Regions from separate parts of the Mus musculus genome. Here regions 2, 3, 4, 5 and 6 are each reported to be linked to region 1. Evidence: microRNA targets listed by miRTarBase, many of them from high-throughput screens and not tested one by one. Region 1 holds a microRNA gene; each other region holds the end of a gene's coding sequence.

Evidence for each region. Region 1 holds the annotated microRNA mmu-miR-665-3p (ACCAGGAGGCUGAGGUCCCU, at 1,057-1,076, opposite strand). A microRNA usually pairs through its seed, bases 2 to 8, with sites in the 3' UTR of a target mRNA and lowers its output. Matches are read on the target gene's strand: a 7mer-m8 pairs with bases 2 to 8, a 7mer-A1 pairs with bases 2 to 7 and ends in A, and an 8mer does both.
Region 2: the mRNA of Dars2 is a reported target of mmu-miR-665-3p. Seed matches in the 3' UTR shown: 7mer-A1 at 1,329-1,335.
Region 3: miRTarBase lists Ttc5 as a target of mmu-miR-665-3p. The part of its 3' UTR that is shown has no 7-base or 8-base seed match.
Region 4: the mRNA of Ncan is a reported target of mmu-miR-665-3p. Seed matches in the 3' UTR shown: 8mer at 432-439, 7mer-m8 at 690-696 and 7mer-A1 at 1,827-1,833.
Region 5: miRTarBase lists Tex9 as a target of mmu-miR-665-3p. Seed matches in the 3' UTR shown: 7mer-A1 at 1,712-1,718.
Region 6: miRTarBase lists Zfp385c as a target of mmu-miR-665-3p. Seed matches in the 3' UTR shown: 7mer-A1 at 2,707-2,713.

What each region holds. Positions count from the first base shown.
Region 1 is chr12:109,583,357-109,587,443 of GRCm38, reverse strand. Mir665 (microRNA 665) reads right to left here and starts at 1,130; the gene lies at 1,037-1,130. It overlaps Mir337 (microRNA 337), which reads right to left and starts at 1,655; the gene lies at 1,559-1,655. Mir3544 (microRNA 3544) reads left to right here and starts at 1,571; the gene lies at 1,571-1,631. Mir540 (microRNA 540) reads right to left here and starts at 1,364; the gene lies at 1,298-1,364. It also overlaps a transcript of Rtl1 not described here.
Region 2 is chr1:161,038,031-161,042,117 of GRCm38, reverse strand. Dars2 (aspartyl-tRNA synthetase 2 (mitochondrial)) reads left to right here. Exons shown (of 17, transcript NM_172644.4): 17 at 188-1,517. The coding sequence ends at 402. It overlaps Gas5 (growth arrest specific 5), which reads right to left. Exons shown (of 11, transcript NR_166052.1): 9 at 4,081-4,087; 10 at 3,846-3,893; 11 at 3,579-3,661. It overlaps Snord47 (small nucleolar RNA, C/D box 47), which reads right to left and starts at 4,026; the gene lies at 3,962-4,026. LOC115487640 (a small nucleolar RNA gene) reads right to left here and starts at 3,810; the gene lies at 3,735-3,810.
Region 3 is chr14:50,762,201-50,766,287 of GRCm38, reverse strand. It overlaps Ttc5 (tetratricopeptide repeat domain 5), which reads left to right. Exons shown (of 10, transcript NM_001080949.2): 10 at 266-879. The coding sequence ends at 385. Among named protein-coding and RNA genes, the nearest start is that of Olfr749, 20 kb to the right of the region's middle.
Region 4 is chr8:70,092,524-70,096,610 of GRCm38, reverse strand. Ncan (neurocan) reads left to right here. Exons shown (of 15, transcript NM_007789.3): 15 at 161-3,526. The coding sequence ends at 291. Among named protein-coding and RNA genes, the nearest start is that of Mir7066, 8.0 kb to the left of the region's middle.
Region 5 is chr9:72,457,553-72,461,639 of GRCm38, forward strand. It overlaps Tex9 (testis expressed gene 9), which reads right to left. Exons shown (of 12, transcript NM_009359.4): 12 at 503-3,726. The coding sequence ends at 3,649. Mns1 (meiosis-specific nuclear structural protein 1) reads left to right here. Exons shown (of 10, transcript NM_008613.3): 10 at 761-1,024. The coding sequence ends at 841. Among named protein-coding and RNA genes, the nearest start is that of Mns1, 21 kb to the left of the region's middle.
Region 6 is chr11:100,625,292-100,629,378 of GRCm38, forward strand. Zfp385c (zinc finger protein 385C) reads right to left here. Exons shown (of 9, transcript NM_001373887.1): 9 at 2,252-3,777. The coding sequence ends at 3,541. It overlaps Nkiras2 (NFKB inhibitor interacting Ras-like protein 2), which reads left to right. Exons shown (of 4, transcript NM_028024.2): 4 at 703-2,311. The coding sequence ends at 942. Among named protein-coding and RNA genes, the nearest start is that of Nkiras2, 4.4 kb to the left of the region's middle.

The DNA.
Region 1 (4,087 bases):
GCCACTTATAGAGATTGAAAAACACAACACAAACCTTTTTTTTTCTCCTGGGGAAGAGAAAAGAAAAGAAAGAAATTGGTGTGAAAGTTCCTGCTAGGGGATGATAACATCACTTCCAACCCTGTCAAGGTGAAAACCAGAGGCCAGGCCCTGGCTGCAGACTCCACCCACCAAGGAGCTGCCCCCACTTCCCAGCTTCAGTCCCCAACCAGAGAGCTCTGACAGCATCCAGGAACAAAGAGGAGCAGGGGCCCTCCCTTGCCCACCTTCCCTGTCCTCTCCATTGCTTCCCCTTATAAGATGTCCCTGCAGGTACCAGAGCCAGTGACAGCACACACACAGGACCCTGAGTCCAGAGTTTTACCAGCTCCTCACCAGGCTGGAGCAGAGATCTCCACATGCCTGGGTAACCTGGGCTAACTTGGGCTACCCCCATAGTAAGAAAAGGAAAAGAAAATATTACCCACCCCTCAACTGTCCCATACACCTTAAGCCCTGGTGCTGGGCCCAGGGGACCACATCGTTAGACACGATCTGAGACCTGAGCAGCAAACCTCATCTGGACTTTGATCCACCTGTGTGAGCTGAGAGACACGCATGACCATCTTGCCACCAAGACCGTGCAGGAGCACAAGTAGGAAGAAGGAGATTGGGGGCAGAGGGGGGGACAGGGAAGGGAGAGACAGTGGTGAAGGGGAGGGGGACTGGGTGTGGCCTGGGTCCTCCCTGTCCTGCCCTCAAATCCTTTCACAGCTTCCAGGCTATTCACTCAGGGTGCTCCTGTGTGCCGGGGCTGGCTGCCATAGCTGGTAAATGCAGTTAATAATGGTGGTGTTGTGGGGATGGAGATGGGCCCTGTATGCATGCAATGACCTAGGTATTGGGGTTCAGACTCTACGCCAGCTGCTCATTGTGCTACTGAAGTGTCTGTGGGCACCCGGCCTGGGAGGAGGATGAACAGGGATCTTCTGCACTCCTTAGGGGATCCAGAGTTTGAACTGAATGAGGTGAGACGTCTCCAGAAGGGCTCAAGGAGAGAGTAAGAGGCCGCCTGTAAGGGACCTCAGCCTCCTGGTCATAAAAACATAATCCTGGATAGAGGCAGAGGCCCCTCAAGGAGACCCTGTTCTGGGAGCACTGGTAATGCTCAGCCCTGCCCTGTCTCAGCCCTGTGCCCTGCTCTAGTAACAAAGACCCCATCTCTCAAGGATCCACCCTTTCTGCTAGGAGCTGGGTCCCCTCAGAGGACCTCCAGGAGAGAACGGCTCCTGGAATCCCAGTGGGAGGAGCCCCAGAGTAGGCCCAGGATCGACCTCTGACCTGTCTACCCTTGGCCACAGAGTCAGAGGGTGACCCTTGGCCCAGCCCCAGGGAATGTCCCACCAGGGGTATAGCTCCCCCGCCAAGGAATGATCTCAGGTATGGCCCAGCCCCGGGTATTCCCCTCCAGGAACTGTGGAGAATGGCGAGAAAGCATGCCAGGGGAAAAGAGCGAGCTGAAGACGCGTCCCTAAGCGGCCCAAGGTGCGCGGAGGAGGGTCCGGAGGCCTCACGCGGTTGAAGGGGGTGAAGAAAGGCATCATATAGGAGCTGAATGGCTGTGCAATCAACTCCTGCATGACGCCGTTCCCACCCCCCAACTTCTCACTACACTGGGACCCTCCTCTCCTGAAAAAGCAAGGCAAGAAGCACAGACAACAGGTAGGACAGACTCCCAGGGCTTAGTGTTAGAGGAAGGAAACCAAAGGCCAGCCAGCCCTAGGGCACCTGCAGCACAGTGGAAGCATCTACCCTCCTTGCCCAACCTCACTTCTTATAAACTCTCATGGAGTGACTGGAGCCAATCCAGGGGATGAGGAGGGGGGAGAGGGAGCAGAGGGATGGGAGGGAGAGAGGAGGGGCAAGGGAGCACTGAAGGAGGGGTGGGGAAGCGGAGAGGGAAGGAAGGGTGACTGTGGTCACAGGAGTGTCCTGCTAAGGTCCATCCCGAGTATCCAGTGGGTTCCTCTGCAGACCTAGAAGGGACTCATGGGAACCAGCAGGAGCTTAGACGCCCCAGATGGATCCCCCAAAAAGATGCATGGGTTAAAAGCTACTCAGTGTGGTGAGGGGACAAACTGCAGGTACAGCTAACAACCGCTCCCCAGGTTCTTTGAGTGTCAACTTGAGTTACACTCCTCCATGAATAACTAAAAACCACAAACTGCTTTTGCTTGCCTGTTAGTTTTTTTGTTTGTTTGTTTGTTTTTGAAACAGGATCTGTGTAATCCAGAGTGGATCCCGACTTCTCCATCTTCCTGCCTCAGGCTTCCAAGTGTGGCTATGATTGACAGGCCTCTGTCACCATGGCCAGCTTGAATGGCACATGTGTATCACCTTACATATGAATAAAGTAAAAAAAAAAAATCTTTCCTGACTTGTGCTCTTCTCTTCCTTGTCTGGCACACCCACCAACTGCCAACAAACACTTGTCCCAGCATAGTCTCAGAGAGCAGGGTATAAAGAGGTAGTATGGGGGTGGGAGGGAGTAGTAAGGATGGGAGGCCAGAAGACAGGTGAACACAGGTGGGGAAGGGAGGACTCGGTGTTAAGCCAGGGAGGAAGGGAGCTGCACACGACATGTGAATGACAAAGGGTTAAGGCAGCTCAATGCTGTGGTAAGATGCTGCAGATGTCAGTGGGGCAGGGGAGAGAGAGAAGGGGGGCTCAGGGCAGCATGTGGAACACAGCTGCACATCATCCAGGGCAGAAGAGGGTTGCAAAGGGACATGTATGTGTATGGGAGCATAGGGACATGGCTCACGGGAAGCAGGAGGGTCTCAGGGTGACGTATGTCACAAGGGAGAGATGAAGGATATGATATCCCACGCAAAGAGGGGGTCTTCATGTCATAAAGAAAAGAACAGGGACATCCCATGATGCCTACCTACACAGGGGGGTGTCAGTAACATATGGAGAGATTAAGGGATTAAATCTAGCGGATGGGGAGTGGTCCAAGGCTATACATGGGGGAGAGAATCCATGGTACAGGGGAGAAAAAATGTAAATGTGATGTGCAGAGGAGGGGTAACATGACACATAAAAAGAGGAGGGGCTCAGTATGACTCTTGTACAGGAGAGCCTATGACTCCTGAGAAAGAGACTGGGCTGCATGTGGGACATAAGGAGGAGGGGCTCTGATAGAGGAAATAGGGGCTCGGTGTGACATCTGTCAAGGAAAGTGTTCATCACAAGTGGGGAGAAGGACTAGATGTGACACCTATGAGTTGCTTTGTGACCTGGAGGACATGCACGTCACAGTGTGGTATGTGTAGAGGCAGAGCGCTCCATGTCACAAGGCAAGGGGTGGATGTCTCAACGTGCTGCGTGCAGAGGTGGGGCTTCCCAACATGAAGAGAGAGCGAGAGGAGAAGAGTTCCGTGTACCGCATCTGGAGCACCAGCAGGGTTTGTGGTGACTAAAAGGAACGAGGGCTATGGGACACATGATTTAGGGGCCCTCTCACGATGGAGGAGCTCAGAGTCAGGGAGGGGCCTAAGGTGAATGGGGAGTAAGTGGGATGAAGCTCGGGTGCACAGGGCACACGGGTGGGGCTAGGCTAAGCATGACACACGTGGGGAGAGGTGTTCTCTCTCTAGGACACATGGGTAGAACTCAGGTGACCACGACAGGTGTGAGAGGGGGCATACAGAACGTAGGAAGGGTTAGGCTAAGCATGACACATGTAGAGGAATGGTGCTCTTCAGGACATATGGGTGGAGCTAGGCAAAGCGTGCCCCATTATGGAATTTTCTCTTTAAGACACATGGCTGACAATAGCCTAACCCTAACACAGGATGACAAGAGGAGAGGACTCAGTGTGAGGCCAGCAATAAGACATAAGAAATGTTAACACATGAACACAGAGGGTCTTGGAAGTGCAGCCTGATGGGAGGGGTCTGTCCAAGACAAAGCAGGTGTAGTGGGAAACCATGTAAAGATAGGGAAGAGAAACTTACTCTGACCCAGGTAGGGGAGTGGAGCTGAATGTGATACCCGTGGAGAGATGAGACGCAGTGTGACTCAGGACCCTTGTTGTGATTCATGG
Region 2 (4,087 bases), not on the chromosome of region 1:
TCCCAGGATTCAGGAGGCAGAGGCAAGTGGATCTCTGCATTCAAGGCTAGCCTGGTCTACAGAGTGAGTTCCATGACAACCCAGGACTAAACCCTGTCTTGACACCCTCCGCACCCCCAAAAAAGTTATTTTCAGAGCTAAAAGCTATACATTTCTCATCATGTTCACTTTGTATTTTACATCACAGGGTTAGACAGACTGGTATGTCTTGTCACGGGAGCACCCAGCATCAGAGATGTCATAGCCTTCCCTAAATCCTACCGAGGACAGGACCTTATGAGCAATGCTCCAGACTCCGTGTCTCCAGAAGAGCTGAAGCCTTACCATATCCACGTCTTGTGGCCAGCAGACTCAGAAGAGGAGAGTGCATCCGCCACACCTTCCAAACACTTGAGCTCTTAACTTTTGTCTTCTCTGCTTCACCAAACTTAAATTAAGATCCAGACCTGCCACAGACTTTAGAACCAAATGTCTGTGTAGAAGCAATCATTACCGAGTAAGAAAGAGAAGCTACACAATTGTGACTTGGTCATGTGTACCATTAGGACTGTCTGTGGAAGTTTTTTAATTGGAAAATTGTCAAATGAAACAAACAAACAAAAAAATCTCTTTATTGAGTATTTAGAGTCTTCCTGTTTTCCAAGCATGTTTCTATACCCAGATAAGTTATTTAGAATAAGGATAATACAACATGGTTGCCTCTGTACACTGGCCAGTTAATGCAGCAAGGTTTCAGTTCATCTAGCCTCATTAGAACCATAAATTAAACTTTGTGGTAATCTTTCAGCCATCAATATAATGTTCTAAGTAGTATAGTAGGATCAAAAAAAAAAATTACAAGTAACAGAATTCTATTGTGTTGTACCTTAAGCAAGCTACAAATGTCTCTTAGCTGCCCCAGCTGCTTATATAATGTGAATGACACTTGTCCTGGCTGTCTCACAGATCTCTTGTTGCCAGAATCATGAGGTTACATTTGTGGCAGATATGTGATTTGAAATACTGTAAAACAGGACTGAAATGCAGCTGTCCTAACCACTGTTCTATTGCTGTGAGGAGACACCACAACCAAAGCAACTCTTTATAAAGCATTTAGTTGGTGCTGGTTTATAGTTTTAGCTGTAAGCATGGTGGCAAACACAGACATGATATAGAAGTAGCTGAGAGTTCTACATCCTGACCTGCTGTTGCTGGAAGACTGGGCCTGGCACAGAATTATTTGCTTTCTTATGGCTTTTCAAGACAGTTTTCCTGGCATGGGCTCTTTTTTATGGTTTTTTTTTGTTTGCCTGTTTTCGAGACAGGGTTTTTCTGTGTAGCCCTGACTGTCCTGGAACTCACTCTGTAGACCAGACTGGCCTTGAACTCAAATCCGCCTGCCTCTGCCTCCTAAGTGCTGGGATTAGCATGTGCCACCACTGCCTGTGGTTCTTGTTTATGGTTTTTCAAGACAGGATTACTCTCTGTAGCCCTGAAACTTGCTTACTTAAAGGCTTTCAAAAATCAGTTTCTCTGTGTAGCCCTGCATGTCCTGAACTCTTTCCTGTAGACCAAGCTGGCCTCAAACTTCTGGGGATCTGCTGCTTCTGCCTCCCTGGTGCTGGGACTAAAGGCATGGGTTCTTGACAGTTTTAAAGCCTCCAGTCACAAACCTAATCCTTTCTAAAAAATGTCACTCTAGTAGTAAACATTCAAATGAGTTTATCAGCACCCCCTCCCACCCCTAACATCTATTCCTTCTCTGAAAGGGGAAACCACTCCCCTTAACACCCTAAGGCTTCTCTGCCCCCTATCCCCTACACACAAACTCACTGCAGGACTAGGCGATTCCTCGGAGGATGGCAAAGCAGCTGAGACCTGGAAGGACAGTTGTACACAGCTCAGTGGTTCAATCACCAGTATCATACACAATCTAAAGGCCTAATGAGGCAGTGCTAAGGGTGCTGAAGTGGAAGGAGGCAGATGACTCCCTACTTGATCAGAGGCTGGTAGATCTGAGCTAAGGGCGTGACTGTAGAGATCCAGTGAATGAAACCCTGACCTTGTGTTCTGGAAGAAGGAACCATGGGTGTCTTAAAACAGACCAGTAACTCCCAGCTGGTCCTAGTAAGCACAGACCTTTGATCCTAGGCAGATCCAAGTTTGAGACCAGCCTGATCTACATGGAAATCCCATCAAGGCAACCTGCCTCCAAGAGACCAGCCAGGCAAGATGACTGGATAGCTGGATTCCACATTGTGAAAGGAAGACTTGTGTAGGTCATCCTGACCTCTTCACATGCATTACCATACAAATGGACCACTAACAGTAAAGGTATGTGACTAGCATGTGAAAAATTTAAATCCTCACAACCCAAGAATGTGATGGAATTTAAATCCATTTCAGTAAGACTATGTGTAGAATATAAATCACCAAATGAGATGTTTAGCTATGTGTTCCAGGGTAACTGTTGAGCATTGAAACACTGCCCCCATTCCCAGGGACTAAAGCTTGTAGAGGTACAGCTCCAAATACCTACACATTTTGCCTGGAACCAGTGTTCTAAGGACCCCTGACCAGTTACCTATACTATCTACAGCCAAAGGACTAAACAAAATAGCCTCAACTTTTCCTTTGGGGCCACCACACCCAGCACGAATCCCAAACTGTACTTGTTAGATTAAGGATTGTAGTTTCCGTGGTCTCAAGAACTGAGCCCAACAGACCAGAGTGAACAGTATCAAACCTAAGAGCCAATTAGCCTCAGTGTTCCTCCTAATTTAGGAATGCTGAGTTAGGCCTGGTGGTATATATAACTGCAAAAGTCCTAGGCATGGGGACAACACTTTAACAGGACTGCAAGGTCTAGGCTTTTACCTTCCAGGTTTATACTTCAAATTTTCCCTCACACCTGTGCCCCTACAGGCCATCTCCAGACCTTTAAAGGGCTGGTATACCCACTCAGACTGCATAACTGATTAGACATTCAGGATGTAAGACTCAGCAGACACTGTCACCTGCCAAAAGTGAAAATACCACCTCCACCAGTCAGTCCAGTTCTGGTTAACGCTGTTCCTATTAATTTAAAATGTCAAACAGAATAATGGCTTGAGGCTGGTGAGATGGCTCAGTGTGTAAGAGCACACTTCTCTTTTGGTTCATCTTAGATTGTGTTGAGAAAGGAAAGAGAAAAAAAAACTATTTCCAGGCAAACTGATTTGTGACTGTACTCCCCTTTGCATACTCCATGAAATATTTAGTTTTATAAGATATAAGAAAAGTGTTCTAGGGCTGGAGAGATGTACTAACTGCTCTTCCGAAGGTCCAGAGTTCAAATCCCAGCAACCACATGGTGGCTCACAACCATTTGTAACAAGATCTGATGCCCTCTTCTGGAGTGTCTGAAGACAGCTACAGTGTACTTACATATAATAAATAAAAAAATCTTAAAAAAAAATAATGGCTTGTGCTTATAAGCACAAAAAGACAAACTATACTGACACCAATACCATCCAGTCACTGGGCAGCTAATAGATTTAAAAATGTCTAATGTGAACTCCCCACAATGTGCTCATCAGAACAAAATGCACACTTCACAGTTCATGTTATAATACACTTTAATGGTAAAATTTTAACACAATATATCTGACACCATCTTCTATTTGAGCCTCCATCCAGGCACCTGCAACAACCAACAGAAGGTAGCTGTTAAACACTTTTCTACAATTTTAACTTAAATGGTAACTGTTAAAACACAGAACATCAGATCTTTTACTATCATCAAGTAATCAGTGAGAGAGTTCAAGTTGTGTGAGATCATCATGTATTCTGGAGTAGGTTCCCGGTTAAGCATTTGCAGTTCTCACCTCAGAAACAAAGGTGCAGTCACTGCATGTCCACTTGTCACAGGAGCCCTAAGAAAACAAAGACTGACTTACTTCTCTGGCTTAGAGTAGTTAAATTTTACATGTTAGTATAGTAACCTCAGAAATAAAATGGAACGGTTTAAAGGTGATATCACTTTGTATCATTTGGCAGAATCATCACATCACTGGTTACAAGCTATATTACAATCTGTACAAAAACAAGTGACAGACTTACTTTGAAA
Region 3 (4,087 bases), not on the chromosome of region 1:
TCCTGTGGATCTGGCTGGCTGCTGTTTCTAAAACCCCTGGAGGAGGGCAGATTCTCTGAGAGCCGGTGGCACCCTTTTCTCAGAAAGCAAAGAATTTGCCTTCTTGAATGAGGGAACAGTCTTAGTCTTGTAACTGTATTGGTGGTGTCCCATCTGTCTCAGAAACTCTCCTTTGTTCAGGGAGGTAGGCAGAATAGGTTCATTTGCCGGAGTTTTTGTCTGACCTAGATCTGGAATGAACTGATCTCCCTGTCTTCTTTTCTAGGACTATTCCTTCTCCAGCGTGCGTGTGGAAACGCCTCTTCTGCTGGTGGTGAATGGAAAGCCACAGAACTCCAGCAGTCAAGCCTCTGCCACAGTAGCTTCAAGGCCGCAGTGTGAATGACCTTGTAGAGGCAATGAAGTCTCATAGCTAAGCTCACCCTGCGAGTTGGAAATGGGGACTTCTCTTCCCCTGCCCTGGAACATAGTTGAGTCTCTTTCCTTTTCCCTGCTGTATTCCAGCCCTCTTCAGAGCCATTGGGACCCTTGTTTATTCTTCCTGCCTCTTCAAAGGTGCCGACTTAAAGAGCAAAGAACTCATAGAACTGTTGGGACCATGTCATGAGAGACTCAGGACCTAAAGTCCTGAGAGGTTTTGACAGTCCACGAGATCCCTGTTCTCGCCTCCTTCCTGAGTCCAATATGTATGTACATATCAGTTTACTATTTATTGTTGAGGGGGCTCAACTTTCTAATGGCTTCATTTTTGAGCAGTGTTTTTTTTTTTTTTTTTTTAATTTTTATGTTTAAGTTCCGATTGTCTTAAAAAAAAAATGTTCTTTCTCGTCCTTAGGGCTAGAACAAAATTAAATTTGTTTGGAAAAGAATTTACCCTATAGTTCTGTCTCTTTATTGTCTCCAGTTATAGGGATTCTTGGTATTAAGATCTGTAAAGGCTGTTGGAGTGGCACTGCTTTTTTGGGTTTTATACAAAATAGTTTATCTGGAATTAGAGGCAGTTGAGAGTTGCTGGTGTTGGGAAATGAACTTAGATCTTCATGAACAGTATGTATGTATGTACGTATGTATGTATGTATGTATGTATGTATGTATGTATGTATGAGTAGTATGTATGCTGAACCAACTAACAAGGCCTAAAAGTTTTGTTTCTTACTTTGTGTGTATTGTGTGTGTGCAAATGCAGGTGTGAATTCCCAGCTGTGTGAGTGAGGAGGCCAGAGCAGGGTTTGGGGTGAGGTAGGGTCCCTCACTGAACCTGAAGCTTGCTGTTTTGGCTAGGCTGTCTGGCCATCAAGCTCTTGCGGTCCACCTCTTCCTACCCTTTAGTGGTGGAGTCGCAGGCGTATGCAGCTGTGCTGGGTTCCTTACATGGATGCTGGAGACTTAAACCAGGTGCTCATGCTTGAGAGCAAGCGCCCTGAGCCACCGAGCTATTTCCTTGGCACTGCTATGGTTTTGTTTTTTTTTATATTTTAAAAATAAAAATAAAAAAAATATTTTTTTGGTTCAGGTTCTCATTATAGAGCCTTGTACGACGTAGAACTCATTTTGTAGACCAGGCTGGTCTTTGAACTCAAAGATCCACTTGCCTTTGCCTCCTGGGAGCAGATCACCTCTATTAAAGGTGTTGATCACTATGCCTGGTACTGCTGCGGCTTTAAAACAAAAAATTCTATGATAATGTTTGTGTTTATAGCGTGGATAATTTCTTTGAAAAATGGTCTTAATATAGGACAATTTTACTATTTTATTTTGTATGTATGTATGCATGGATGTGCGTGTGCATATATGTATATGTATGTGAGTATATTTGTATGATTGTGGTATATGTGCACACGTATGTATGTGTGCATGGATGTGCGTGTACACATATGTATATGTATGTGAGTATGTTTGTATGAATGTGGTATATGTGCACACGTATGCAGAAGCTCCAGGAAGATGTCAGCTATCCTGTCACCCTTCACCTTATTTCTTCACTAAACCTGGTGGCCTTGAGCAAGTACAAATGATACTCCTGTCTCTGACCTCACAACACGAGAGTCCCCTGAGCATGTGTGGCCATGGCTGGCTTTTTATGTGGGCGCTGGCGATTTGAACACAGGTTTTCATGCTTCAGGTGCAAGCACTCTTAACTCACTGAGCCACCCCTCCAGCCCGTAGTCCACTTCTGGGACAGCAGAAGAGTGGTTTACACATAGTATCAGCTCCAGAATCTGAGAGCCTGGGATCAAATTCAGCTCACATGTGGTCACCATCCCAGGGTAAATGTTTTCTCTCTGTATCTTGGGTAGTGTGTTGAGCATGTGGTGGCTAATTTAAAGTTACAGTAGACCTACAAGGTAAGTAGCATCCTACTTTATAGCTGTGGACGTGAGATTCCCAGGTAATGAAAGATTCTCTCCTTGATCAAGCTGTGGCAGGGCTCCTCTGAGCTATTTTGCAGCCTTGCATTGCAAAAACTGGAATAAACTTATTACTTATCTAGTTTATTCATTGTGTTCTTTTTTTTTAATTAGCATAAAAGGAGTGTGTCTTCATCGTGACAATTTCATGTATTCTTTCTTTCCACTGGGCCTTCCCTTTTAGGCCACTCCATCATCTTCCCCTCTGGTCCTTCCTGTTCTCCTCTGGGTCCCCTTCTTCATAAAACCATTTCTCCTTTCATGTCACACTGTTTTGTTTTTTGAAATTCATTTAACTATGTGTACTTGGGTGTATCAGAGTGTGGGTGTGTGTCTGTGAGAGTAGGTGCCCGTGAAGGCCAGTGGTGGTGGATCCCCTTGGAACCGAAGTTACAGGTGGCTGTAATCTGCCTGGTGTGGATATTGGGAGTCAAACTGTTCTCTACAACCACACGCTGGCCCTCTGCAAGAGCAGCAAGTGCTTCTATCCACTGCTCCATCTCTCCATCTTCTATATCATGTGTATTCTGTGTCTCTCCTGCTCATCCATGCTTCTCTCTTTCCTCAGTCCTTTCCTAGTATGGATATCTGCATTCACACCTCCTCGATTTATGCACATGGCATAAAATACAGAAGCTGCATGGGAAGAAAGAATGGTATCTGGTGTTAAGTAGTCTCCATGAAAGTCCTCTGAGAAAACTGAAGTGCTGTAAGAATGGATTGCTTGTCTGTTTCCCCACACCTGGAGATAAGGCTCCCTGTCTGCCAGCCTCTGGGATGGGAAGGACCTAATTTGATAAGTGCCAGTTAAACCCCAATGAGTTTTATGTGGACCAGCTTTCTTCCTGCTTTCTTCTTGACTGCCGAGCAGCCATCAGATACACCGATCTTTCCCCCTGAACACTCCACGTACCTCCTTTCCATAAGTAGTACAGGCGACTTAGCACAGTAACTTAGCATTTCTTGTTTGACTAGTACCATAAGCCTTTCCCCCTTTAGCTAAAACTTTCTCCAATTCTTTTTTTTTCTTTTTCAGTTTTTTTTTAATTAGGTATTTTCCTCATTTACATTTTCAATGCTATCCCAAAGGTCCCCCATACCCACCCCCCCCAATCCCCTACCCACCCACTCCCCCTTTTTGGCCCTGGCGTTCCCCTGTACTGGGGCATATAAAGTTTGCAAGTCCAATGGGCCTCTCTTTGCAGTGATGGCCGACTAGGCCATCTTTTGATACATATGCAGCTAGAGACAAGAGCTCCCGGGTACTGGTTAGTTCATATTGTTGTTCCACCTATAGGGTTGCAGTTCCCTTTAGCTCCTTGGGTAATTTCTCTAGCTCCTCCATTAGGGACCATGTGACCCATCCAATAGCTGACTATGAGCATCCACTTCTGTGTTTGCTAGGCCCCGGCATAGTCTCACAAGAGAGAGCTATAACTGGGTCCTTTCAGCAAAATCTTGCTAGTGTATGCAATGGTGTCAGCATTTGGAAGCTGATTATGGGATGGATCCCTGCATATGGCAGTCACTAGATGGTCCATCCTTTCGTCACAGCTCCAAATTTTGTCTCTGTAACTCCTTCTATGGGTGTTTTGTTCCCATTTCTAAGAAAGGGTAAAGTGTCCACACTTTGGTCTTCGTTCTTCTTGAATTTCATGCGTTTGGCAAGTTGTATCTTA
Region 4 (4,087 bases), not on the chromosome of region 1:
AGGGGGTCTCACTGTGCAGGTCTGGCTAGCCTTGTGCTTCCTGCCTCTGCTTCCCAAGGTCACCTGTCTTCCTAGTGTTTTTCTCTTTGCATCCCTCTGAGGAGGCCAGTGGCATCCAGCCAGCCATCTTCACCCCTTCTCATCTCTCCCATCCCTGCAGCCAGGCGGTCACATCGGATGCGTAGACACCACCACCATCCACACCGACATCACAAGCCTCGCAAGGAGCACAGAAAACACAAGAGACACCCAGCGGAAGACTGGGAGAAAGACGAAGGGGATTTCTGCTAAAGATCCAGGCTAATCAAGCACAAGCCCCCACACCTTCTCCAGAGTGTTTCCTTGGGGACCCAGAACCCAGCATCCACCAGAGAGGGTGGGGACACTGCAGAGCCCCACACCCCTGCGGTAGGTCCTCTGTTACTGAGGTCCTCCTGGAAGGGGTGGCTGAGCCTGAGAGGCCATGCTGGTCTGGCTGAGCCTCTAGGTCACTTCCCAGCCATTAAAGGGGGTCCTGAAGTCTGCATCCACAAGGGGCAACAGTATGTCTGTGTGTGCTGGGGAGTGGCTTTCGCACCAGAGATTCAGGCTTAGGAAACAGTGGACCATCCTGAATCTATGGTGAAGGTTTGGCTAAAGTCACTGTATCTGAGTGGAGGACCAGCAGAGCAAACATGATGGCCTGCCATCTCCTGGGATCCCCCAAGGGTGACTTCCACTCCTCTGGTTTTCTTTTTTTTTCCCCTTTCTTCTTCCTCCCTCCCAATTCCAACACCTCCAACCCCCAAACTAGGCTGGCCTCGAACTCACTATTGTAGAAAGATGTCCTTGAAGTCTCAATCCTCCTGCCTCTGCACCACCATGCCTACCTGGTTTATTTGGTGCTGGACATGGCACCTAGTACTGAGCAGGGCTCTCTCTGCTAACCAGCCCTAGTCTTTGGTCTTGGTTCAGACCACTAAATCTAGTGTGGAACTCTTATATACTGATTTTAGTGATGTCTCTTAGAGCCACTGGCCTCCTTGGCTTCCTAGGGGAGGTTACTCCGAGCGATGGGGGTGGGGAGGGCTAGTGTCTTGCTGACTCCCCAGGTCTAGTGCAGTGCTAAGATCTGGTGGTTCTGTTTTGGGTTGTTTTTGTTTTGAGACAGGGCCTCACTGTGCGGCCCTGGCTGGCCTGGAACTTGCTATATAGACCAGGCTAACCTGGAACTCAGCGAACTGTCTGCCCAGCCTTCTTTGGTTTTATTGACGTAAGATCTCCAGAGCCTAGGCTGGGTTTCAGGCCACAGCAATCATCCTTTCTCAACCACCTGAAGGTGACAGGCATACGCCGTCGTGTGTGGCAGTTTCGTGGCTTTGTGATGAAAAATCTCCCACACCCGTGTGCACAGAAGTGAGATCAGTGGAGTACAATGTGCTGGATGCTGCTGTATCCTCCCCCTCCATCTCTCAGGGAGACAGACAACCTTCTGCCTGAACCAAGATGGTGCCATGTTTTCTAACCCAGAGCCTGTCTTTTTAGCAGACCTCAATAAATCTCCTGCCTCAGATTCCATCCCTGCCCCACCCCACTTCTGTTTCCACATCCTGCCTGATGGACTTTATGCTTACAGTGTTCATGGTCCTATGGTAGAAAGAAGAATTCTCTTAGAATTAACACACACACATACACACACACACATGCATGTACACACACTAACACACCTTCTCGCCTGGTTTTACATTTTTCTTTTTCTTTTCCTTTTCCCCGTTTCCTTTTCTTTTTTCTTTTTTTTTTTTTTTTTTTTTTTTTTGAAACAGGGTTTCTCTGTGTAGCCCTGGCTGTCCTGGAACTCACTTTGTAGACCAGGCTAGCCTCGCACTCAGAAATCTGCCTGCCGCTGCCTCCCAAGAGCTGGGATTAAAGGTGTGCGCCACCACGCCCGGTTCTACATTTTTCAAAATGTGAAATAATCCACTTTGGATTCCCTCTTCCCATCTACACTCCAGAAAAGACTTCCCAAGCCAGGGACAGGGTCCCTCACAGAGCCCATGCAGTGTGGGTAGAATCTATGAATTTGTGTTAAAGCCACAGTGGAGCCTGAGCTTAGCCCTGTGGGTAAAGATGCTGCATAAGCCTGAAGAAGTCCGTTTAAGCCCTGGGACCCATGTTTTAAAAGTGAAAAGCCAGGTAGGGTGTGAACCCTGGTGCCAGCATCCCTGTGCTGAGACTATAGGAAGCTCATGAGCCAGCTAGCCTGGAGGATCACGGCAAACCCTTAAAGGGTAGCATTTGACCTCCACTGCACACTACAATGTGGGTGATTCTCCAACACACGCACAACCCTCTCCCCCCACACACACTGCACAAGCACAAAATAAATAAGTAAAAATTTCAAAAACTGTAGGATTGGGTGGGTCAGGGCAGGGATGGGTGCACAGGTTCTGGGGTCCATGCCCAGCTCTTCCTAAGTGTTTACTGAGCTGCATTGCTCACAGGAGGTAATGAAAGCCTGGGGCAGTTACTGAATAGAAGCCGTGTAAAGCCTTGTGAGATGCCCTTGAATCCTCTCAGCAGCCCACGTGGTCCTTAGTCTCCCATTTCCACTTGATTGTAAGAGAAAGACAAAGTTACAGACTACGATAGAGGAGCTAGAGCAAGAATTTCCTTCTGTGCGTTATAATTACTGTAAGTGTTGATTTTTTGGACAGGGCCTCAGTCTGGCCTTGAATTCACTCAGTAGCTGAGGATAACCTTAAAGTCCTGATCCTTCTGCCTCAGTTTCCCAAGTACTAAAACGGCAGGTATGCACTATGACTGGTGTATACAATGCTAGGGATGGAACCCAGAGATTTGTGCATACTAAGTAAATGTTCTACACCTGAGCTCCAAGTACTCTGTCAACTGAGCTCCAAGCACTCTGTCAACTGAGCTCCAAGCACTCTTATCTGTGCTTCGAACGCTACCAACTTAGTTCGATTCGCAAACCCTGGTCTTGATTTGTGCTCCAAATTTTGCTTTATGTTTAAGGGAAGAGACCTAAAATCCTTACCTGCTGTCACACACACACACACACACACACACACACACACACACACACACACACACACGAGCAGACTTGGGAAATGGTTGAGAAAAGCAAACTGGACCCTGATCCGTAAAGGTCCCTGTGACTGGGGACAAAGCTTCTTGGTAACATTTTCTAATTCAGAAGGAACCACACCAATCCCCTGCTGGGGATTGAGGGCGAGGCCTGCTGGGGCTCAGAGGTTCTTCCTAGCCCCTGAACTGCCTGCTCCATGGAGGGGCATGCTTTAGGCTTTTCTGGACTGGAGCCTCATCTCCAGCTTTCCCCCTCCCTGGTGTGTCTGCTTGGGCCAGTATGCGGGAGGAGTGTGTATGTGCGAGAATGGCTACAGGTTCTGCTGGGTTTTGTTTTGTTTTTGTTTTTCTGGGAGCTTTGATGTTCCGTGGATCTGTGCTATCTGACACTGTGGATGTTAATGGACTTATTGGACATTTTAATAAAAATTTTTTAACAGTTCAACTTGCCTGTGGCCCCCTCACCCGCCCCTCACCCGCTCACTTGCCTGCTCGTTTACTGAGAGCCTGCATTTCTTTGGAGTGATGACTCACATAGCCCAGACAGGCCCAGAATTCCCTACGCATCTGAGAAGGATCTTGAACTGATCAGTTTCCCATTTGTTTTGTTTTTGAGACAGGGTGTCTCTTTCGACCAGGCTTGCCTGAAACTCTGTGATCTATATGCCTCTGCCTATCCACTGCTGGTTTGTTTTATGGGGTGCTGGGAACTTTACGAATGCTAGGAGAGCGCTTTGTGAACTGAGATACAAACACTCCACTAAGTGAGCCACAGCCATGGGCCCTGAGCCCTTATTAGGAGCCACACACTGTGCCCGGTCAGAGGGAAAGTAGGGTACCGCAGGAGAAATAGAAGGTATCTTTTCTCTTTCTTTCTCTTTCTTTCTCTCTCTTTCTTTCTTCCTTCCTTCCTTTCTTTCTTTCTTTCTTTCTTTCTTTCTTTCTTTCTTTCTTTCTTTCTTTCTTTCTTTCTTTCTTTTTCTCTCTCTCTCCCTCCTCCCCT
Region 5 (4,087 bases), not on the chromosome of region 1:
CAACTATTGAGAGCTATTCCAATAGGCAATGAATTTTCATGTATAGTATTTGAGACACATTGTGACTGCTAATAATTAGCTTCCTTATCCATATAAACATGGAGATTCATAAAGCCACAGTCCTTCAAATATATGAGTCATATTGCTTGAAGTCTTTATTGACTATGCAGAATCAAGTGTGTTCAGTCCCTAACCAATGAAAGAAAAAGGAAAATTATTAAAAGTTGCTAGCCGTAGTGTATTAAAGTCTAATTAGTTAGGTAGATTTAAATACGCATGATAGCCTGATGCCAAAATTCACCCATGATTGGTATATTTAATAAAACAGACTATATATATGCTGAGAGGGCCTTTGGACTTCAACATCTGAGTGGAGAAAATACTTCTGGAGGGCAGCCGGGACCCGTTAAGAGTAAAATTCAGTGTCTCAGAATGAGCCGCTGATAGACTGAGGCAGAAAGAGTGCGTCCGGACAGTAGCCTGTAATGTAGGCAGTCACGGCCGGAGTTAGAGCATAAGGCACAGCAGCCCCTAGCACAGCTTAATACTCTGAGGTTGAGTAATCAGGAACTGGGAGCAGCTCAGTGATATTCAGATATACTTGAAGCCATAGTCTTTCTGATATTTTAAAATTAAGTTTCAATAATCGATCTCATTATCTGCATTTCTTCATTAGCTTCATGTCTGTGTGTGTTAGTCCTAAGAAAATTCAGTGAAATACTCTAATGTTCAAAGTAACCAACAAAATGCTTCTTTGTAGGGAGTGTTTAAAAGAGAAGACGATGTTGACATGCTTGGTGAAGAGTTCAGGAAGGCCTATCAGAAAAGGGATGGAGTCTGAAGCCGAGTCTTCATAGCAAGGCCGGGCGAGACCTGGAGTGCTCAGATGCTGCCACTAGATGTCAGCGTAACTGCTGTTTTACAGTTGGTGACAGTAGGCCCTGGTCTATCTGCATGTTCTAAAACATCCTCCTATTTCATCATGTATACAGTTTGACAAAAATTAAACACATTAGTACTTTAACTGCAGAATTAGTCATTTTTATTTACTATGCATTCTATGATGCCATCATATCACAGAATTCCACAGAACCAGAGGCCAAACACAGCAGCTCACTACAGGGAGACGACAGACCTCTCTGGGCAGTATGTAAGACACTTTTCTAATTCATAAACATTAAACAGCTATTTACTTCTCTCAAGTTTCTGTCATCAATATTTTGTAGTTTTCAATACAGCCATCTTCAATCTCCTTGGTAAAATTTAGTCTAAAATGTTTTTGTTAGATACTACAAATGGGGTACTGTAGATTTTCTCTGATATTCTGCCACTGATGTATAAAAATGCCACTACTTTGGCTTGTGCTATGCTAGGGACTGGATCTGGGGTCTCATACATGTTCTGTAAGTGCTCTGCCACTGAGCTACAGCTCAAGGCTTTCATTTGTGCTGTCAGTCTCCTGATGTGTGCCTATTGGTTTTCTTACCTTGTAACTTTACTCAGTTGATTTGATCTCAACCATTTTTCATAATGGACAACCCAACTTCTTTGTTCCCAGACTTCATATTTTTCTTTCTCTTGCTGGTTATATTTGATTAGCATTTCTGCTAAGATTAAAAAAATATTTTACGAGCCGGGCGTGGTGGCGCACTCAGGAGGCAGAGGCAGGCGGATTTCTGAGTTCGAGGCCAGCCTGGTCTACAGAGCGAGTTCCAGGACAGCCAGGGCTACACAGAGAAACCCTGTCTCGAAAAACCAAAAAAAAAAAAAAAAAATTTTACATGTGCTTGCCTGCATATATGTGTACTAGATGTCTGCAGAGCTCAAGAATGCCTCAAGACGGTGTCCTAGCCTCTGGAACTGGAGTTACAGATGACTGGGACCATACGCACGGTGGGAACCAAACCTGGGTTCTCTGCAAGAGCAACTAGTGCTCTTTTGGGGAGGTTTTGGAGAGGGTGGAAACAGAGTTTCACTGTGTGGGCCTGGCTGTCCAGGCTAACCTCGAACTCACAGAAATCTTCCTGCTTCTACCTCCTGAGTGCTGGGATTAAAGGCGTGTGCTCTCTGCCTAGCCATTGCTCTTAACTGTCTGATTTCAGGTCTTATAGGGATGGGCAACCTGGGATGTGATTAATGCAGACCACTACAAATAGCAAACTTAAAATGTTATACAAAATTCATTTTTTTAATTTGTAATTCTGTTGCATAGTCTTTCAGTATGAACTCTGAAGATCACAATATCATGTCACAATATAAAAGGATTGGATACACAAATACGTGGGGCTAAGCTTCAGCTTTTCCCTGTTCAGTGTGTTGGCTGTGGGTTTGTCACATATGACTCACGTTACAGCACATTCCTTCTGTAACCTACTTTGCTGACAGTTTTGTCATGAAGTGTTGCTCAGTCTTGGGCTTTTCTCTCTACTGAATTTACAAACCTTTTCTTCATTCTGTCAGTGTGACATGCTTACTGATTTGAATGTCAAATCATCTAGGTTGAATCCCACTGCATCGTGATGAGGGATCTTTTGATGTATAGAAGTTGTTTGCTGGTGTTCTGGGGAGCATTTCTGCATCTGAGTTGATCAGAGATACTGGACTATGGGAGTTGTTGGCTTGGTTTTGTTTGTTGCTCTTGCATGATTTCGGTATCAGGATGAGCATACTTGAATGTGGAAATGTCTTTATGTCACTGTTTTGGAATAGTTTGAGAAGAACTGCCAATCTTTAAATGTTTGGTAGAAGCTGGCAGTGAAGCCGTCAGGTCCTGTGTTTTTCTTTGAGGAGATTTATTTTTTTAAATATTTATTTTTATTTTATGTGTATCCCTGAGTGCATGTCTATGTATCCCGTTTGTGCAGAGGTCAATGGAGGCCAGAAAAGGGCCTTGAACCCCTAGAGCTGGAGTTAAAGGTGGCTGTGAGCAGCCCTGTGGGTGCTGGGAACTGAATTTGGGTCCTCTGCAATAGCAGCAATGCCCTCCGTAACCACTGTGCCATCACACCAGCTCCCAATAGAGCTTTTTATTATGGATTTGATCTACTTGATCTCCCTTCTTACTATGGGTGTGTCCAGGTTTTTCTATCTTAGTTAATTCTTGGTAGTATATCTCCAGAAATTAAACATTCTGTGTTATCCAAATTGTTCATAATCACTTATACTTATGATCCTTTGGTACAGTAAGTGTGTCCCTGTTTCCATCTCTATTTTGTCTCCTGTGTGCACAACCACTGAACAAGAGAACACACACATAGCCCCTGCACAACAGCCTCTGGTCCCAGCCTGCATCACTGCTGTTGGATGCAGCAGCCGTGCACAGCACACAGGCCTGCAGCAGACTCAGCAGCTGCAGCTGGGGATCTCCAGAATCTTGCCCTGCCATCTTCTCTGTCCTCTCCCAGGTCTAGTAGGTCATAAAAGATAATTAAGAGTCGAAGTCTTGCTTCCTTATTTCATAACTACTAATGAAAAAGGAAGTCAGGCCAGAGTTGCCGTCTGGCTTTGTCTTCCAACATCCTCCCAAACATTCTGTTTATTTCACCAGGTCATTATCTAACTCTTTTATTTCACAAATGTTCTTATTACTCATGAACAGCAAGAAGACTACACTTGATATCAAATGAGCATCCCATTGCAGTTGCTCACTCATGAACTGCCCCACTCAAGAGCCTTCATAAACTCCTCCTCGCTGAAAGACAGCATCTTGGCAGCTTCAATATGCATCTGTTTTTAAAAAATATATATTGTTCAATTTAGAGATGGACACACAACAAAAGAAAATTTGTTTGTGTTAATATGCTATCAAAAAAATAAGCTATTGTTGGATTATACATACTAACCATGCAAGTGTAACACTTTAAATTGATATTACATGAAGACCAAGCTACTGTTAAAAGAATAATTTGATATCATTATACCTGATCTTTGTAACGAGAGAGGGCTGTGAATTGTCTTTTTTCATGTTTCAAGAAAGATACAATGTGTTTTAGAATTACTGCTCAAAGTTTGAAGAGGAAATTAATCCACTAAAATTAGTCATTCTCATGAATGGTACTTTCTGTAGTTGGGAGGGAATATATATACA
Region 6 (4,087 bases), not on the chromosome of region 1:
ACAGCTGGAGTTAGCACAGAGAAAGGCACTTAAGGTGAGGAAATGCCTCCATAAGATCCTGCTGTGGGGCATTTTCTCAATTAGTGATCAAGAGTGGAGGGCCCCTTGTGGGTGGTGCCATCCCTGGGCTAGTAGTCTTGGGTTCTATAAGAAAGCAAGCTGAGAAGCAAGCCAGTAAAGAACATCCCTCCATGGCCTCTGCATCAGCTCCTGCTTCCTGCCCTGCTTGAGTTTCAGTCCTGACTTCCTTTGATGATGAACAGCAATGTGGAAAATGCAAGCTGAATCAACCCTTTCCTCCCCAACTTGCTTCTTGGTCATGATGTTTTGTGCAGGAATAGAAACCCTGACTGAGACAGGGTGCTGGCATGATTCCCAGTTGTGCGCATTTGCCAAGAGGTAGTTTAGGAGCTAGAAGGCCGGGAAGATCATTGGAGAGGGTCTTCAACCCACACAAGAGGTAGTGGGCCACATGATAGGAGAGCTCAATCGCTGAGTCTTCTTCTTGGTTTACTAGGTTCCCTCCTAGCACATGAAGCGCGGTCTAGTTTTCCTTCTCTGGGGCTCTGTGTTCTTGCTAGTCCTCCAGAAGTCCTCTGGGAACTGCATCCTCCCCAGCTGTTGGCCAGAAACAGCTGATGGCTACACCTGGTCCTGAGCCACTGCATGCCGACAGTCCCTGTTCTCATCTGTCCTCTCCAGGTCACCATCGTGGTCCTTGGCAACAAGTGTGACCTGCAGGAGCAGCGTCGCGTAGACCCTGACGTGGCCCAGCACTGGGCCAAGTCCGAGAAGGTGAAGCTATGGGAGGTGTCGGTGGCTGACCGACGCTCCCTCCTAGAGCCTTTCATCTACCTGGCCAGCAAGATGACCCAGCCGCAGAGCAAGTCTGCCTTCCCCCTCAGCCGCAAGAACAAGGGCAGCGGCTCCTTGGATGGCTGAATAGCTGCCCTTCTTGCTTCACCATTCCAAGCCCATTCCGGGATGGGTGGCGAGCACAGGGTGCATAAGCAAGCTGTTCTTCCCAGTCGGTAGGGGAGTGACCCTCTAGGACAGGAAGCTGGGCTGGCCCAGGCCAGTGCCACCTTTGTCCTCTCTTAACTCCAAGAAGTGCAAGTGAACTTGATTGTTGGCCCTCCCTTGACCTTCCATAATAGTTCCCACCCCTCCCCCAGCTGACCATATTTTCTCCACTGTCACCTAGACACTTATGGGTTAGTGTCCCTTCCATCTGCCTGGTGCAGGAAGCAGGGCCGTCATGCCAACGCGCCCAGTCCAGGATCTGCCTCCTATCAGGGATCCCAACTCTGAATTTCCTGCCACTAACATACACACAGTACCAGCCTTAAAACAAAAGACTAGGTACTGTAAGCATACATTTGTGCGAGCTGGCTTAGGGTTGGTTCCTCATCCTCCACCCTGACCTTTCCTCTGGCCTGTTCAAGGCCTGGTAAAGTCAGGCTCCTGGGAGTGGCATTTCCTGTTTGACCTCTACCCATCTCCCAGTTGTTTCACTTCCTCTTCCTGTTCCAGGAGCAGAGGTCTTATTGGCTGAGGTAGAGTGGAGTGATGACTGGGCTGTCACATGCCCTGAGACTTAGCAAGACTCTTCTCCCCTGAGCGTCAGTCTTCTCGTATGTGAGTTGACAGAAGCTTGGATGTCACCTAGAGCCACGGGTAGCGCTGTGACTTTTCTAAAGCTGGTGGCTTGGGCCTCCTGTGTGTCTTCTGCCCCTGCTCCACCCTCTTTAAGGTGCTACACCTACCGGCCCTGGAGGCTGGACGGCCTCTCTTAACCACCAGGGGGCAGGGGTGCACTCTGCTCAGTGCTGCGAGCGAGCGGCTGTCTATTAACCTGCCCAACAGGGTAGTGTCCATCCCTCCTGGTTGGTTTTGGCTAGTAGCTGGACTTTATATTTATACTCTCTCTGTATTTATGCACCTGCTGCTCTGGTGAAGGTGGGATAAGCCGCGCCCCCAGCCCTTCTTTCTTACCTCAGATGCCTGAAGAGAACCAGGCAGCCCAGTAGCAGCTTCCCAGGAGCTGACAAGCCTTCCATCAGAGGCTTGTGCTATCAAGTGAGCTTATCACCCACAACCTGCGGTGCCCACTCCGTGCTTCTGATGTGCACACCTCACACGGGTTAAACACTATGGCCAGGCCACCTCCAATACCCTCTCCTCCTCCTAGAACAGGCGAGGGGGGGCTGGTGCCCAGGCCTGGGCAAGGAGAGTCTGGGCACCTACAGGCTCAGGCTTGAAGTTCATTTATTGATGTGTTGGACACAATAAAACCACAACTGCTATTATCAAAAAGTTTCCCGTCCCCTACCCCTTTTCTTGTCCCATTGGAAATATCTTTCAAAAAAAGGGGGATATAGGTGGATCCTGGTGAAATCCCATGTCGAATGGGGGAATGGCACTGGCTTTGGTGACATGAAAGTTGATCTTGAGGGTTTACTGGACCATGTACCAGCCCGAAACGCCACACTTGGGATGGCCAGACCCAGTGTGGAATGGAGAGTCCCTAGGCTGAGGGAGACCCAGAGCCCCTTTAGAGTTGGGGTTCAAGAGAAACCACTGAAAGGCTAAGATAAGAAGAGCTGTAGTGCCGGGTGTGGTGGTGCACGCCTTTAGTCCCAGCACTCGGGAGGCAGAGGCAGGCAGATTTCTGAGTTCGAGGCCAGCCTGGTCTACAAAGTGAGTTCCAGGACAGCCAGGGCTATTGTGTCAAAGCCAGACCAGGCAGGGTGGTGTGTGCCTTTAGTTCCGTTACTTAAGAGGCAGAGGCAGGTAGATTTTTTGAGTTTGCCAGCCTGAGCATACAGTCCCAGACCAGCCAGGATGACACAGTCAGGCCCAGCCTGAACACCACTTTTCCCTTCAAGCCCCACCCCCACGAGCAGATGGCGCGTCATCTCAACTCTGCCTCACTTTCACAGTACATTTTTTAAGAACTTTGGGGCCTCTTATCTCTATGGCCCTTTGCCATACATACCCTGTAGTCTACTTGTGGTTGTTTTGGTGTTTGAGACAGTGTCTAGCTATATGGCTCAAACTGACTTTGAACTCGTAATCCAGGCCCTAGGATTGCAGGAATGCACCACCATACCTGGCTACCCCATGGTAAATATGCCTGATAGGTTCCAGCCCACTTCAGTTTGAGATCCCTGTCTCTAGTGATTGTCCAGACCGCTCTAGAACATGGCAGGAGAGGCTGGCCCTTGGGAGCTAAAATGCTGTCAGCTCTGTGTACGTCTCTAGTTGGGGTCTGGGTATGAGAGCACCATGAGACTGGGGCTGTGGTTTTTGCATAGATCTTTGGGATTTGTTAAATCATAGATGCAGGGCAGCCTAGGGCTGGCCCAGGAAAGGAGGGTAGTGGTGGTCCTCAGAGCCAGGGGACTGGAGAACCCCAGTCTGAGTGAAGGGCAGCTACCCAGGTTGGGTGGGAACCCGGAAACTGCAAAAGGCAGTCTCTGTGGGATGTGGAGACAAGTGTCTGACTGGAAGAGATAGGATGTGGCCATTCTGAGTCCACTAATAGGGAGCAAAAAGGATGGGTCCTGCAGCAGGGCGGACAGCTCCTGCTGGAGAACGAAACAGAGCTGGGCCCAGGACAGGAGCTGGGAAGAGGGTAGCAGCTGCTGTTGCAGCAGGCCGGAGGGTCAGGGGCCCTGGCAGGGCACAGATGGCAGCAGCTGTGGTGGGCAGCGGACCAGGCAGGAAGCGGGCTGCCAGCGTCTTGGTGAGTTGCTTCTGCAAGGCCAATTTAGACTACAATAAAAACAGAAATGGAGAGGGTCTCTGATACCAGAGAAGCCCGCCCCCTCCCTGGGACACATCCAGGAGCCTTTTTGCCTCGGGGACGTGCCTTTTAGAGTTCTAAGTCTAACCTCCTCCCTCCCGCCCCCAAACAGTCATGCCAGGGGGCCTTGCTGTGCCAGCTGTCTTCCTGCCCAGCAGATGGACAGCCTCGGGACGGGCCGCACTGTGAGGGGTAGGAAGAGATGGTCTCTAGGATAAGCACACCCACCCCTGGCTTTTGCCCTTCATATTATGACCTTAGGCCCAGCCCACCCGCAGG